Linked DNA regions of Saccharomyces cerevisiae S288C. The protein of the gene in region 2 interacts with the protein of the main gene of each other region in a biochemical or structural test. Each region holds a gene or a part of one and is shown on either strand. Other genes may lie near its edges.

Evidence for each region.
Region 1: the proteins of CLF1 (region 2) and YJU2 form a complex in vitro, tested with the Saccharomyces cerevisiae proteins (one study listed by BioGRID).

The regions. Positions count from the first base shown.
Region 1 is NC_001143.9:260,379-263,613, forward strand, and holds YJU2 (mRNA splicing protein YJU2), read left to right. Parts: upstream 1-1,898; coding exon 1,899-2,735; downstream 2,736-3,235. Other genes in the region: CWP1 (Cwp1p), read left to right, coding at 754-1,473; YJU3 (acylglycerol lipase), read left to right, coding at 2,971-3,235. UniProt on the Saccharomyces cerevisiae protein: Part of the spliceosome which catalyzes two sequential transesterification reactions, first the excision of the non-coding intron from pre-mRNA and then the ligation of the coding exons to form the mature mRNA.
Region 2 is NC_001144.5:379,713-389,192, reverse strand, and holds CLF1 (Clf1p), read left to right. Parts: upstream 1-4,658; coding exon 4,659-6,722; downstream 6,723-9,480. Other genes in the region: YPS3 (aspartyl protease), read left to right, coding at 1-449; YPS1 (aspartyl protease), read left to right, coding at 973-2,682; ESCRT-I subunit protein SRN2, read right to left, coding at 3,018-3,659; TML25 (palmitoyl-(protein) hydrolase), read left to right, coding at 3,785-4,468; mRNA splicing protein MSL5, read right to left, coding at 6,941-8,371; cleavage polyadenylation factor subunit CFT2, read right to left, coding at 8,629-9,480. UniProt on the Saccharomyces cerevisiae protein: Involved in pre-mRNA splicing and cell cycle progression. Required for the spliceosome assembly by promoting the functional integration of the U4/U6.U5 tri-snRNP particle into the U1-, U2-dependent pre-spliceosome.

The DNA of each region.
Region 1 (3,235 bases), on a different chromosome or scaffold from region 2:
CTTCAAGAGTAAGTAGTGAAGAACCCCACTAGACAAATACTAAGGGATGCTGCAACCACGTCTTATACTTCACCCATACATAACATTGGAATCTCATTAATTTTTGCAAAGATATGGTGAACAAGTTTCAAAATAAGAATGTATGTGTACCGAATCGTAGCTCGAGGTAATAATGAAAAAAAAAATCGGACATCTGGAAAGTTACGAATATAGAAGCAGATACCCCTCTTGACGGCAAACATTGTGTGCTCGACCTTCTATCCCGTTAAAATATCATAATAAACAAACCCCTCCCGCGAAAACAAAAAAAGAGAGCTAAAAAAAGTACTTCTTCGCGTTATAGATGGTGCCGCACCGTACGTCATAACTAAAAATAGCGTTAGCCACAGCTCCCTGAACGAAAAGGGCCCTTCGGCCCGATTGGAATACGGGTCCGCTTACGTCTGTGCGTGCGGGTTGTCCCACAACGGTAACTTACTCCAGGAGAGCCATCTCGAAGGTGCCACAAAAGAAAACAAAAAAAACAACAAACAATAAGCTCTGTGGTTCACGTTCAATGTAGTGTTTTTTCACCTTTTAATTTTGATAATTTGTGGTGCAGAAAAAAAAAAAGCAAACAAACAAAATCTCAATTATTTAAAGGACGATCTTAACGTTTCTTTCTTTCGCTATCTTCCTTGAATTTTTTTTCTGTCTGAAGTAAAATATCCCGTAACAAACTAATAAATACTACGAAAGTCTCAAAAAACAATAATGAAATTCTCCACTGCTTTGTCTGTCGCTTTATTCGCCTTGGCTAAGATGGTCATTGCCGATTCCGAAGAATTCGGCCTGGTGAGTATCCGTTCCGGCTCGGATTTACAATACTTGAGTGTTTACAGTGATAACGGCACTTTGAAACTTGGCAGCGGTAGTGGCTCATTTGAGGCAACTATTACCGATGACGGTAAACTGAAATTTGACGACGATAAGTATGCTGTTGTCAATGAGGATGGCTCATTCAAAGAAGGTTCTGAGAGCGATGCTGCCACTGGTTTTTCTATTAAAGATGGCCATCTAAACTACAAGAGCTCTTCTGGTTTCTACGCTATCAAGGACGGGTCGTCTTACATTTTCTCTTCTAAGCAATCCGACGACGCTACCGGTGTTGCGATTAGACCAACTAGTAAGAGCGGATCTGTTGCAGCAGATTTTTCTCCAAGCGACTCTAGTTCCTCTTCATCTGCTTCTGCTTCGTCTGCTTCCGCATCATCTTCTACAAAGCATAGTTCGAGTATAGAATCTGTCGAGACCTCTACTACTGTGGAAACTTCCTCTGCTAGCTCCCCAACTGCTTCAGTTATCTCTCAAATTACTGATGGACAAATCCAAGCTCCAAACACAGTTTACGAACAAACAGAAAATGCAGGTGCCAAGGCTGCCGTCGGCATGGGTGCTGGTGCTCTAGCGGTCGCAGCTGCTTACTTGTTGTAAGTACGAGAACAAAACCTGCATGTTTTATTTCCTTCAATATAGCTTTCTACATAATGATCACTTACATATAGCGTAATGTAATATGAAATGGCCCATAATATTCTCTTACATTGTCCTCCTACCTACATTCCTTTTCTTGCATGCAGCTCTCACATTCCCCGATTCGCTTGAAAAATTTAAACTTGTAGAAAAGTAGGTGAATGTCCCGCCGGCGGTTTCTCTGCTGCATGTAGAAAGATGGATATACAGAAAAGGAGATAAGAGTAGCTATCTCAAGTTTGTTCCACTGACTGCTAATACGCATAGAGTTGTTATTTATTGTACATATTCGAAAAAAAGCAAGAAATCACTACGGTGACCTCAGTAGAACGAACTAATAAGTCAAACCAAATTAACCGTTTCCAGGCTGATAGGAGAATACAAGAATGTCTGAAAGAAAAGCTATTAACAAGTACTATCCACCGGATTACAACCCACTGGAAGCTGAAAAGCTATCCAGGAAAATGGCTAAAAAACTGAAAACCATGAATAAGAGCCACGCATCGATTAGATTAATGACCCCATTTAGTATGAGGTGTTTGGAATGTAACGAATATATTCCCAAAAGCAGAAAATTCAATGGTAAGAAAGAGCTACTGAAGGAGAAGTACCTGGACTCCATTAAGATATATAGACTAACCATTTCATGTCCACGTTGTGCCAATTCCATTGCATTTAGAACAGACCCCGGTAATTCAGATTATGTAATGGAAGTGGGGGGCGTAAGAAACTATGTCCCTCAGAAACCAAATGATGACCTGAACGCTAAAACAGCTGTCGAAAGCATAGACGAGACACTGCAACGCTTAGTGAGAGAGAAGGAAATGGAGCAGAACGAGAAGATGGGTATAAAGGAGCAAGCAGATGACAAAATGGATTTGCTGGAAAAAAGACTAGCCAAAATTCAACAAGAGCAAGAGGATGATGAGGAACTTGAAAATTTAAGGAAAAAAAACCTTGAAATGAGCCAGAGAGCTGAAATGATAAACCGCAGCAAACACGCACAACAAGAAAAAGCAGTAACGACTGATGATCTGGACAACCTCGTAGATCAGGTATTTGACAATCACAGGCAGCGTACCAATAAACCTGGCAATAACAACGATGAGAAGAGAACTCCGTTGTTTAATCCTACATCCACTAAGGGAAAAATACAGAAGAAAAGCTCTGTGCGTACGAATCCGTTAGGGATAGTTATAAAACGAGGAAAGTCTCTCAAATGACCTAGAAAAGTAAGGAACGTACGATTGGTATCATGATCTCTTGTGATGCTGTGCTACTGTGGTTGCTTCCACACTATAGCGTCCATCGCTACTTACGAGGGGCGACAGCCCCTTCGGACTTCGAAGTGTCTGGCCGTTTTTTCATTGAATTTTCTTATAAATGAATACATATCGGAAAAGCCATTGTTGACTAAAGCAAGCCAAAGCCACACAAACCGAGGACAAATAGAAAAGCATGGCTCCGTATCCATACAAAGTGCAGACGACAGTACCTGAACTTCAATACGAAAACTTTGATGGTGCTAAGTTCGGGTACATGTTCTGGCCTGTTCAAAATGGCACCAATGAGGTCAGAGGTAGAGTTTTACTGATTCATGGGTTTGGCGAGTACACAAAGATTCAATTCCGGCTTATGGACCACTTATCACTCAATGGTTACGAGTCATTTACGTTTGATCAAAGGGGTGCTGGTGTTACATCGCCGGGCAGATCGAAAGGTG
Region 2 (9,480 bases):
CAATAATTCCACAAGCGGGCAACGCCACCGCTATCCTTGGTGATTCCTTCTTGAGAAACGCCTACGTGGTCTACGATTTGGATAACTACGAGATTTCCCTAGCTCAAGCCAAGTATGGCACGGGGAAAGAGAACGTCGAAGTCATCAAATCTACCGTTCCCAGTGCAATAAGGGCCCCCAGTTACAACAACACTTGGTCTAACTACGCCTCCGCCACGTCCGGTGGTAATATTTTTACCACCGTGCGCACTTTCAATGGCACCAGTACTGCCACCACTACGAGGTCAACCACCACCAAGAAGACAAACTCTACCACTACTGCAAAGTCGACTCATAAAAGCAAGAGGGCACTCCAGAGGGCTGCTACCAACTCCGCTTCCAGTATACGCTCTACCTTGGGTTTACTGCTAGTCCCCTCCTTACTCATCCTTTCCGTTTTCTTTTCGTAAAAAAAAACAATAGACACTATATATAGACACTTTTTCCTTTCCTTCTTTGCGCGATTTCAAGAGGAAAAGCATACTTAAATAAGAATATTCCTAAAACACACGTTCTGACGCGTCAATTAGATCGTCAGACCTTGCATGCAGCCAAGACACCCTCACATAGCACTGCCTCCTTCCTCCTCTTTTCTGTCACCACCTCACCTCCCTCGTCCACTCAACTGAGTGGCTTTTCGCTCCTTTTATACTGCGCCATGAGTAGTTTTCGTTTCACTGATGTGTCCGAAAAAATTGAGGTTTCATAAAAAAATTCGTGGACTTATTTATGGAGAAACAGGGAAATCCGACTACTTAAGAAAAGGGTGTCAAAGAGGATTTACTTTTTTCCTTCTTTTTGCATTTGTTCCTATTTCCGCAATTGGACGGTTATTAAGAAGAACGCAATTGGCTTTTCTGTATATTAAAATACATAGCGTAATAAAAAGATAAGGTGAACACCAAGCATATAGTATAATATTACCTACCACATATGAAACTGAAAACTGTAAGATCTGCGGTCCTTTCGTCACTCTTTGCATCGCAGGTTCTCGGTAAGATAATACCAGCAGCAAACAAGCGCGACGACGACTCGAATTCCAAGTTCGTCAAGTTGCCCTTTCATAAGCTTTACGGGGACTCGCTAGAAAATGTGGGAAGCGACAAAAAACCGGAAGTACGCCTATTGAAGAGGGCTGACGGTTATGAAGAAATTATAATTACCAACCAGCAAAGTTTCTATTCGGTGGACTTGGAAGTGGGCACGCCACCACAGAACGTAACGGTCCTGGTGGACACAGGCTCCTCTGATCTATGGATTATGGGCTCGGATAATCCATACTGTTCTTCGAACAGTATGGGTAGTAGCCGGAGACGTGTTATTGACAAACGTGATGATTCGTCAAGCGGCGGATCTTTGATTAATGATATAAACCCATTTGGCTGGTTGACGGGAACGGGCAGTGCCATTGGCCCCACTGCTACGGGCTTAGGAGGCGGTTCAGGTACGGCAACTCAATCCGTGCCTGCTTCGGAAGCCACCATGGACTGTCAACAATACGGGACATTTTCCACTTCGGGCTCTTCTACATTTAGATCAAACAACACCTATTTCAGTATTAGCTACGGTGATGGGACTTTTGCCTCCGGTACTTTTGGTACGGATGTTTTGGATTTAAGCGACTTGAACGTTACCGGGTTGTCTTTTGCCGTTGCCAATGAAACGAATTCTACTATGGGTGTGTTAGGTATTGGTTTGCCCGAATTAGAAGTCACTTATTCTGGCTCTACTGCGTCTCATAGTGGAAAAGCTTATAAATACGACAACTTCCCCATTGTATTGAAAAATTCTGGTGCTATCAAAAGCAACACATATTCTTTGTATTTGAACGACTCGGACGCTATGCATGGCACCATTTTGTTCGGAGCCGTGGACCACAGTAAATATACCGGCACCTTATACACAATCCCCATCGTAAACACTCTGAGTGCTAGTGGATTTAGCTCTCCCATTCAATTTGATGTCACTATTAATGGTATCGGTATTAGTGATTCTGGGAGTAGTAACAAGACCTTGACTACCACTAAAATACCTGCTTTGTTGGATTCCGGTACTACTTTGACTTATTTACCTCAAACAGTGGTAAGTATGATCGCTACTGAACTAGGTGCGCAATACTCTTCCAGGATAGGGTATTACGTATTGGACTGTCCATCTGATGATAGTATGGAAATAGTGTTCGATTTTGGTGGTTTTCACATCAATGCACCACTTTCGAGTTTTATCTTGAGTACTGGCACTACATGTCTTTTAGGTATTATCCCAACGAGTGATGACACAGGTACCATTTTGGGTGATTCATTTTTGACTAACGCGTACGTGGTTTATGATTTGGAGAATCTTGAAATATCCATGGCACAAGCTCGCTATAATACCACAAGCGAAAATATCGAAATTATTACATCCTCTGTTCCAAGCGCCGTAAAGGCACCAGGCTATACAAACACTTGGTCCACAAGTGCATCTATTGTTACCGGTGGTAACATATTTACTGTAAATTCCTCACAAACTGCTTCCTTTAGCGGTAACCTGACGACCAGTACTGCATCCGCCACTTCTACATCAAGTAAAAGAAATGTTGGTGATCATATAGTTCCATCTTTACCCCTCACATTAATTTCTCTTCTTTTTGCATTCATCTGAAAACCGTTGCACAAAGTTTAGACATTCACATCTCCAAGCCAGTTGGAGTTTCTGGCGGAAATCGTTGCTCTCGCTTGGGCAAAGTTTTTTTTTATTATTAATTTTTTATTGTTACGTTGGCGGTCTTCATTTTTACTTCACAATAGTTTATCTTACCCACTAAGAATAGGTTACCATTTATTCACATTTTTTTTTCTCATTCCTAGTATACTATTTACCTGGGATATGGCCTATAATCAAAGGCTTTAATATTCTAATAATTCGTTTGGCATCTAGAATAATCTATAAAGTATAGTCTATATACGTACATATTGATAATGGCGGTAGCTGCTGAACTAGTATTTCAAATTACCTTGTTTATCCCAGGTCGCCAGTTTCTCTCTCCTCAAGTGATATTGTGTTCGTATGTCCAGATAATTTTTGATGAACTGATCCAGGTCATCGGCTGAGTCAATGGACCTTGTGGTAGTTTCTAGCTGTGAACTCTCCTCATCAAGTTTCTTTGTGTTTTGTTCTAATTTCTTTTTTAATGCTATGTCACCATATTTTTTTGAAAATTCGGAATGGTAATCTTGCCAGCTAGCTACATATTTGGATTCTAAAATCCTACAGTTTTCTAATAAGGCTTGGACCTTATCTTTTTGCTCATGTAAATCTTCAAAATTTTCTTCCAATTGTTTAAATTGATCTCTGAATGCATGAATCTTTCCAGCAAAGTCCGTTAAGGGATTGAATTTTGTGACGTATAACTCTAATTGGTGTCTGTGGGTTTGAATTAGATCGATTATCTCCTTTGATGATAAAAGGTTAATTCCTTCAGGTAAGGGAATATTTTTGCTTTTTTCGTTTACTTTTTCTGGTAAACCCGGAGATGGTACCACATCCATTTCTGCTCTGATAATATCTAATCTGCTTATATTGAGCCCCTTATTTTTCCTTCGTTGTTTTATCCTTAGTTTTGTAGCCTTTACTTTCATATTTCCTTCTTTTCAGAACGCCTATTCTAGGGAAAAATGGCTTCTGTATGAAATAAAAATGTTAGCAAAAGAGAACGAAAATAAGAACACATACACTATATTTGCCCATTTGAGCGCTATCGAATATGAATGGACTTAGAGTTGCAGCAAAAATTCAGCCAGCACGCCAAACTATCATATTCTTGCATGGATTAGGTGATACAGGTTCGGGATGGGGATTTTTAGCTCAGTATTTACAACAGAGAGACCCTGCCGCTTTCCAGCATACTAATTTTGTTTTTCCTAATGCTCCAGAGCTTCATGTGACAGCAAACGGCGGTGCATTGATGCCTGCTTGGTTTGACATCTTGGAATGGGATCCTAGTTTTTCCAAAGTTGACAGTGACGGTTTTATGAATTCTTTGAATTCCATAGAAAAGACGGTTAAGCAAGAAATTGATAAAGGAATTAAACCGGAGCAGATTATTATCGGAGGTTTCTCTCAGGGTGCCGCATTAGCTCTCGCAACATCAGTTACTTTACCATGGAAAATCGGTGGTATAGTAGCTCTGTCGGGATTTTGTTCCATCCCAGGAATTCTGAAACAACATAAGAATGGCATTAATGTAAAGACACCAATTTTTCATGGGCATGGTGACATGGATCCAGTAGTTCCTATTGGACTAGGTATAAAGGCAAAACAGTTCTATCAAGATAGCTGTGAGATACAAAATTATGAATTTAAAGTATACAAAGGTATGGCCCATTCTACAGTTCCAGATGAATTAGAAGACTTGGCTTCATTTATCAAGAAGAGCTTATCATCATAGCTCTTTTCCTAATATTGCGAGTTCAATTTAACCGCTATTATACTTGGTTAAATAATTTATATACATCCGTAAGACGCGATAGAAAATTAAAAACCTTGGTGCCAAATAGTTGGGGTGATGAGACTCATTGATTATGCAAGTTCATAATAGATAGACAAACTTGAGCTAAAAGTACTCTACTATTGCCAGCATGGACACTTTAGAGCCAACAGCCGTTGATACGCATGTTTCTGCGGAGCAGATTCTGCGGGATGTGTACAAGAAGGGGCAAAAAGCAAGAGGATCGACTAATATTGATATATTAGACTTGGAGGAACTTCGAGAGTATCAACGAAGGAAGAGAACAGAATATGAGGGTTATTTGAAGAGAAACCGACTGGATATGGGACAATGGATTCGTTATGCGCAATTCGAAATCGAACAACACGACATGAGGCGCGCCAGATCTATCTTTGAAAGAGCATTATTAGTAGATAGTTCATTCATCCCCCTTTGGATACGATACATTGATGCTGAGCTGAAAGTCAAATGTATTAACCATGCTAGGAATCTTATGAACAGAGCTATTAGTACGTTGCCCAGAGTAGACAAGTTATGGTACAAGTATCTCATTGTCGAAGAGTCGTTAAACAACGTTGAAATTGTACGATCACTGTACACCAAATGGTGCTCCTTGGAGCCAGGGGTTAATGCATGGAATTCTTTCGTGGATTTTGAAATAAGACAGAAAAACTGGAACGGTGTAAGAGAGATTTACTCAAAATACGTCATGGCTCACCCGCAAATGCAGACATGGCTAAAGTGGGTGAGGTTTGAAAATAGACATGGTAATACTGAATTTACGAGAAGTGTGTATTCTTTAGCGATAGACACAGTAGCTAACCTCCAAAATTTACAGATTTGGTCTGATATGGAGGTTGCAAAATTAGTAAATTCATTTGCTCATTGGGAAGCTGCGCAGCAAGAATACGAAAGATCTAGTGCTCTTTATCAAATTGCTATAGAAAAATGGCCCTCCAATCAATTGCTCAAGGCAGGACTGTTGGATTTTGAAAAGCAGTTTGGTGACATAAACTCAATAGAAGAAACTATTAGCTATAAAAGGAAAATGGAGTATGAAACAATATTGAGTAATAACGCCTATGATTATGACACCTGGTGGCTGTACTTGGATCTCATTTCAGAAAGTTTCCCCAAACAAATAATGCAAACTTTCGAGAAAGCTATTGTGGACAGCCGACCAAAAGAACTATCAAAAAATGTTCAGTGGAAAAGGTATATTTATCTGTGGATGAGATATATATGCTATGTTGAGTTAGAATTGGAAAATTCGCTTTTAGAAGAAGAACTTTTTCAGAGGTTAATTGACGACATCATCCCTCATAAACATTTCACTTTTTCCAAAATATGGCTAATGTATGCTAAATTTCTGATACGACATGATGATGTACCGAAGGCGAGAAAAATTTTGGGTAAAGCAATCGGTTTATGTCCTAAGGCTAAAACTTTCAAAGGATATATCGAGTTGGAAGTGAAGTTGAAGGAATTTGATCGTGTGAGAAAAATATATGAGAAATTTATTGAATTTCAGCCCTCTGATCTACAAATTTGGTCACAATATGGAGAACTAGAAGAAAATTTAGGAGATTGGGATAGAGTAAGAGGTATATATACAATTGCACTAGATGAAAATTCTGATTTCTTAACAAAGGAGGCTAAAATTGTATTACTTCAAAAATACATAACATTTGAGACAGAATCACAAGAATTTGAAAAGGCAAGGAAGCTTTATAGAAGATATTTGGAGCTCAACCAATATTCCCCCCAAAGCTGGATCGAATTCGCCATGTATCAAACTTCAACCCCGACGGAGCAACAACTATTAGATTTAGCAAAACTGCAAAGCGAAAATGTGGATGAAGACATAGAGTTTGAAATTACCGATGAGAATAAATTGGAGGCAAGAAAAGTTTTTGAAGAGGCGATAGTTTTTTTCAAGGAGAAGGATGATAAACAAGGGAGACTGTCTATTTTGGAAGCGCTAAAAGACTATGAAGAAACTTACGGTACTGAACTCGATCAAGAAACCGTCAAGAAAAGATTCCCTAAAGTAATCAAAAAAGTGAGGTTACAGAACGGTGTGGAAGAAGAATTCGTGGATTACATTTTTCCTGATGATATCGATGATGACAAGCCAAAACCATCAAAGTTCTTGGAACTAGCCAAAAAATGGAAACAGGAACAGGCACTTTGAATAAAGGTAAGGGTATCGTGAAATAATATTTTTGTCATTGTAGTTCAGGCCGTAGAAACTAAACAGTAGTAGAATAAGCTAGTAAGTAAATTAAATATCAAAAGTTAATAATAACCAGGAAGGCAAAAAACCAACAAAAAAAGGAACTATGCAAAATAGAGACTACATACCTTCAACACAAATAAAAAAAAATGCAGATATTGTATAATGGGAGTGTATTATAATCCGGGAGGCCCTTGCAGTCCCGGAGGTGTAGGTTTGTTAATGTCATTGCCCATGTTATTAGAAAACCCTGGAGGACCGCTTAGGCCAGGAGGAGGTGCAATTGAGGATTGTACCGTAGTCATACCGGGAGGTGGAGGTAGCGAAAATTTCGGTTGTTCCGACTCTGGAGGGCTTTGTAATGGGGGAGGGGCGATTCCTGGAACTCCGGAACTAAAGCTACTTGATGTTAGGCCGGGAGGGGGTGTAGGCGTCACGTTTTGAGCTTGCCTCGAAATATGTGACGCAGGAGGTGAAGGTGATGGTGCATAACGTGAAGAAGCCGGAAATTTTAAAGGAGGTTCCGTCGAGTTATTGTCATAACGAGATCTTTTTGGTGCTTGAATTGGATGAGTATTGCTATTATAGTGTACGTCATTGCTCTGTATTGGCGCAGAATTATTTACCGTGGCGTTTCTGTCAAAACGGCTCATTCTTTGAGACGATGAGTTACAGTCTCTACTGAAATGTCCAGTTTGTCCACATATTTTGCAAACAATGCCCTGTATATTTGGGATTTTTCTGTTTGGACAATCGTACCTTTTATGATCTTTTAAACCACAGATTGGACAGGGCCTGTTATCTTCTCTTAAAGTACCATTAAGTTCCGCCAATTCTCTCAGTTGTCCTCGTTTCAAGTCATTCTGGCCTTCCGGAGATGTCACCGCTTTGATAACAATGTTTTGACAAACTTTTATACCTTTTTGGATCTTGTCTTCCGAGTCTGCGATAATTAAACAGTGCAAGGGGTCCTCAAAGTTCATGGCGCCTGGAGGTAAGTCACTTGCATTCTTACCTTCTTTGACTGAACCTCTTCCTCTAATTGCAATCTTACAATTCGAATCTTCTTGCAGCTTTCTTAACGTACGTCCACGAGGACCTAATAATAAACCAACAAAATTGACATCAGGATACTGATCCACCGGGATATAATACTTGTCCTGAAATTTGGTAGGTCTCTTGTAATCATCCGGAGGAACGAAGTAAGGGATGGTCTTTAGGGCTATCTCAACAAGTTTAATACGTTCATCCTCTAGTTTCTTTCTATACCTCTGCTCACGGGTATTCGTTCTTTTACCTTGGGCATCATAAACTGGTGGCGGAGAAGGTGACCTATTTTTCCTGGAGGGGGGCACAAAATCGTTCGTACGCAGTTTGATGGTAATTTCTTGAATCCTAAACATGACTTGATAGGAGTATATTTGTTCCCTAGTTAGGGCCCCACTAATTTTTGATGGAAGAGAATTGAATCGATGGACATCGCTTTCTACCGTGTTCTTTCTCCATAACGAAAGGTTGACGTTTGGAGGAACCTTTGCTTTTTTTTCTTCCATACTGCTTCCTTTTCTATTTTCAAAGTATCTAGAGTTAATCCTTCTAAAACTCATCAACAATTTCCTTTTATTGTGGGATAGAATAGCACTTGTAGCAAATTAGGGAAAAAATTCTGCTTTGAAAATTTCCGCTTGGTGAAATTCAGCAGAAAAAGAAAGAAATCAATAATGCTAATATCGTTAAAAGTGAGTTAGAATGTTATATACAGATAATAGCGGTGCGAGATACACAGCAATTTATGTCACATACTGTTTTGTGGGCAGTCCACGAACGTAAATTGAACCTTTTATTTGTGCTGTATACAAGAAGGCTAGATTTTTGCTAACATATCCGTAACCAATTTTTTGACAGTATCAAAAAGTTCGGAAGGCGTACCATCGATAATAGTTTCTGCATCATTGATTTTGCGGACTGCTACTTTTTCATTTATGACAAGTGTACCTTCCCCTTTAAATTCTGCAATGTAGTTTTTCTCTGTGAGAAGTTTCTTTAATTGTGCTAACCTAACGTCACCGATTGACAACGCACCTGTTTTATGGCTCCTAGATGAACCGTGTAATGGTTTCAAGACTAGTTTACTCCTTGACGCTGTTTTTTGATGATTGTTCACTTGCGGTAGGCTCTCCTTAACCAGCCTGCCAACGACAGTGGCAACTGTATAACTATCACTGATACGTTGCCATTTCAAAAGGTTATCGAGGTTGGAGTCAATGGAGATATCCAGGGTCTTTATTGTTGTACTGAATTCCACTATCTTATTTAATGGCATGTTGACCACTTCAATATTTTTCTTGATAAGTTTTGCCGTAATTTCTTCATTTTGAATCTGTTTGGGGGCGGAAAGAACTATTTTTCTAGATTTTAGCGATGGCCATATAATAGATGCAGACCTTTGATCAACTAAACTCTGTAAATTTAGGATTACTACGGAGCATTTCAATTGGACATTTACAGTTGAGATTGTTCTTTTGGAGAGCGTTTTGTCTATCTTTAAATAGTCAAGGTTATCAAAATTTTCTGCTTCTCCGGTTCCAGAAAATCCCGAGTAACGAGAAGCACGGTGTTTGCTCCTTTTGCTAATTGGATCACTCATATTATAACCATCTTCTTCTTCATTTTTGTTATCTTCTTCGTTTACAGGGCTCGTGGTTTTAGCACCGTC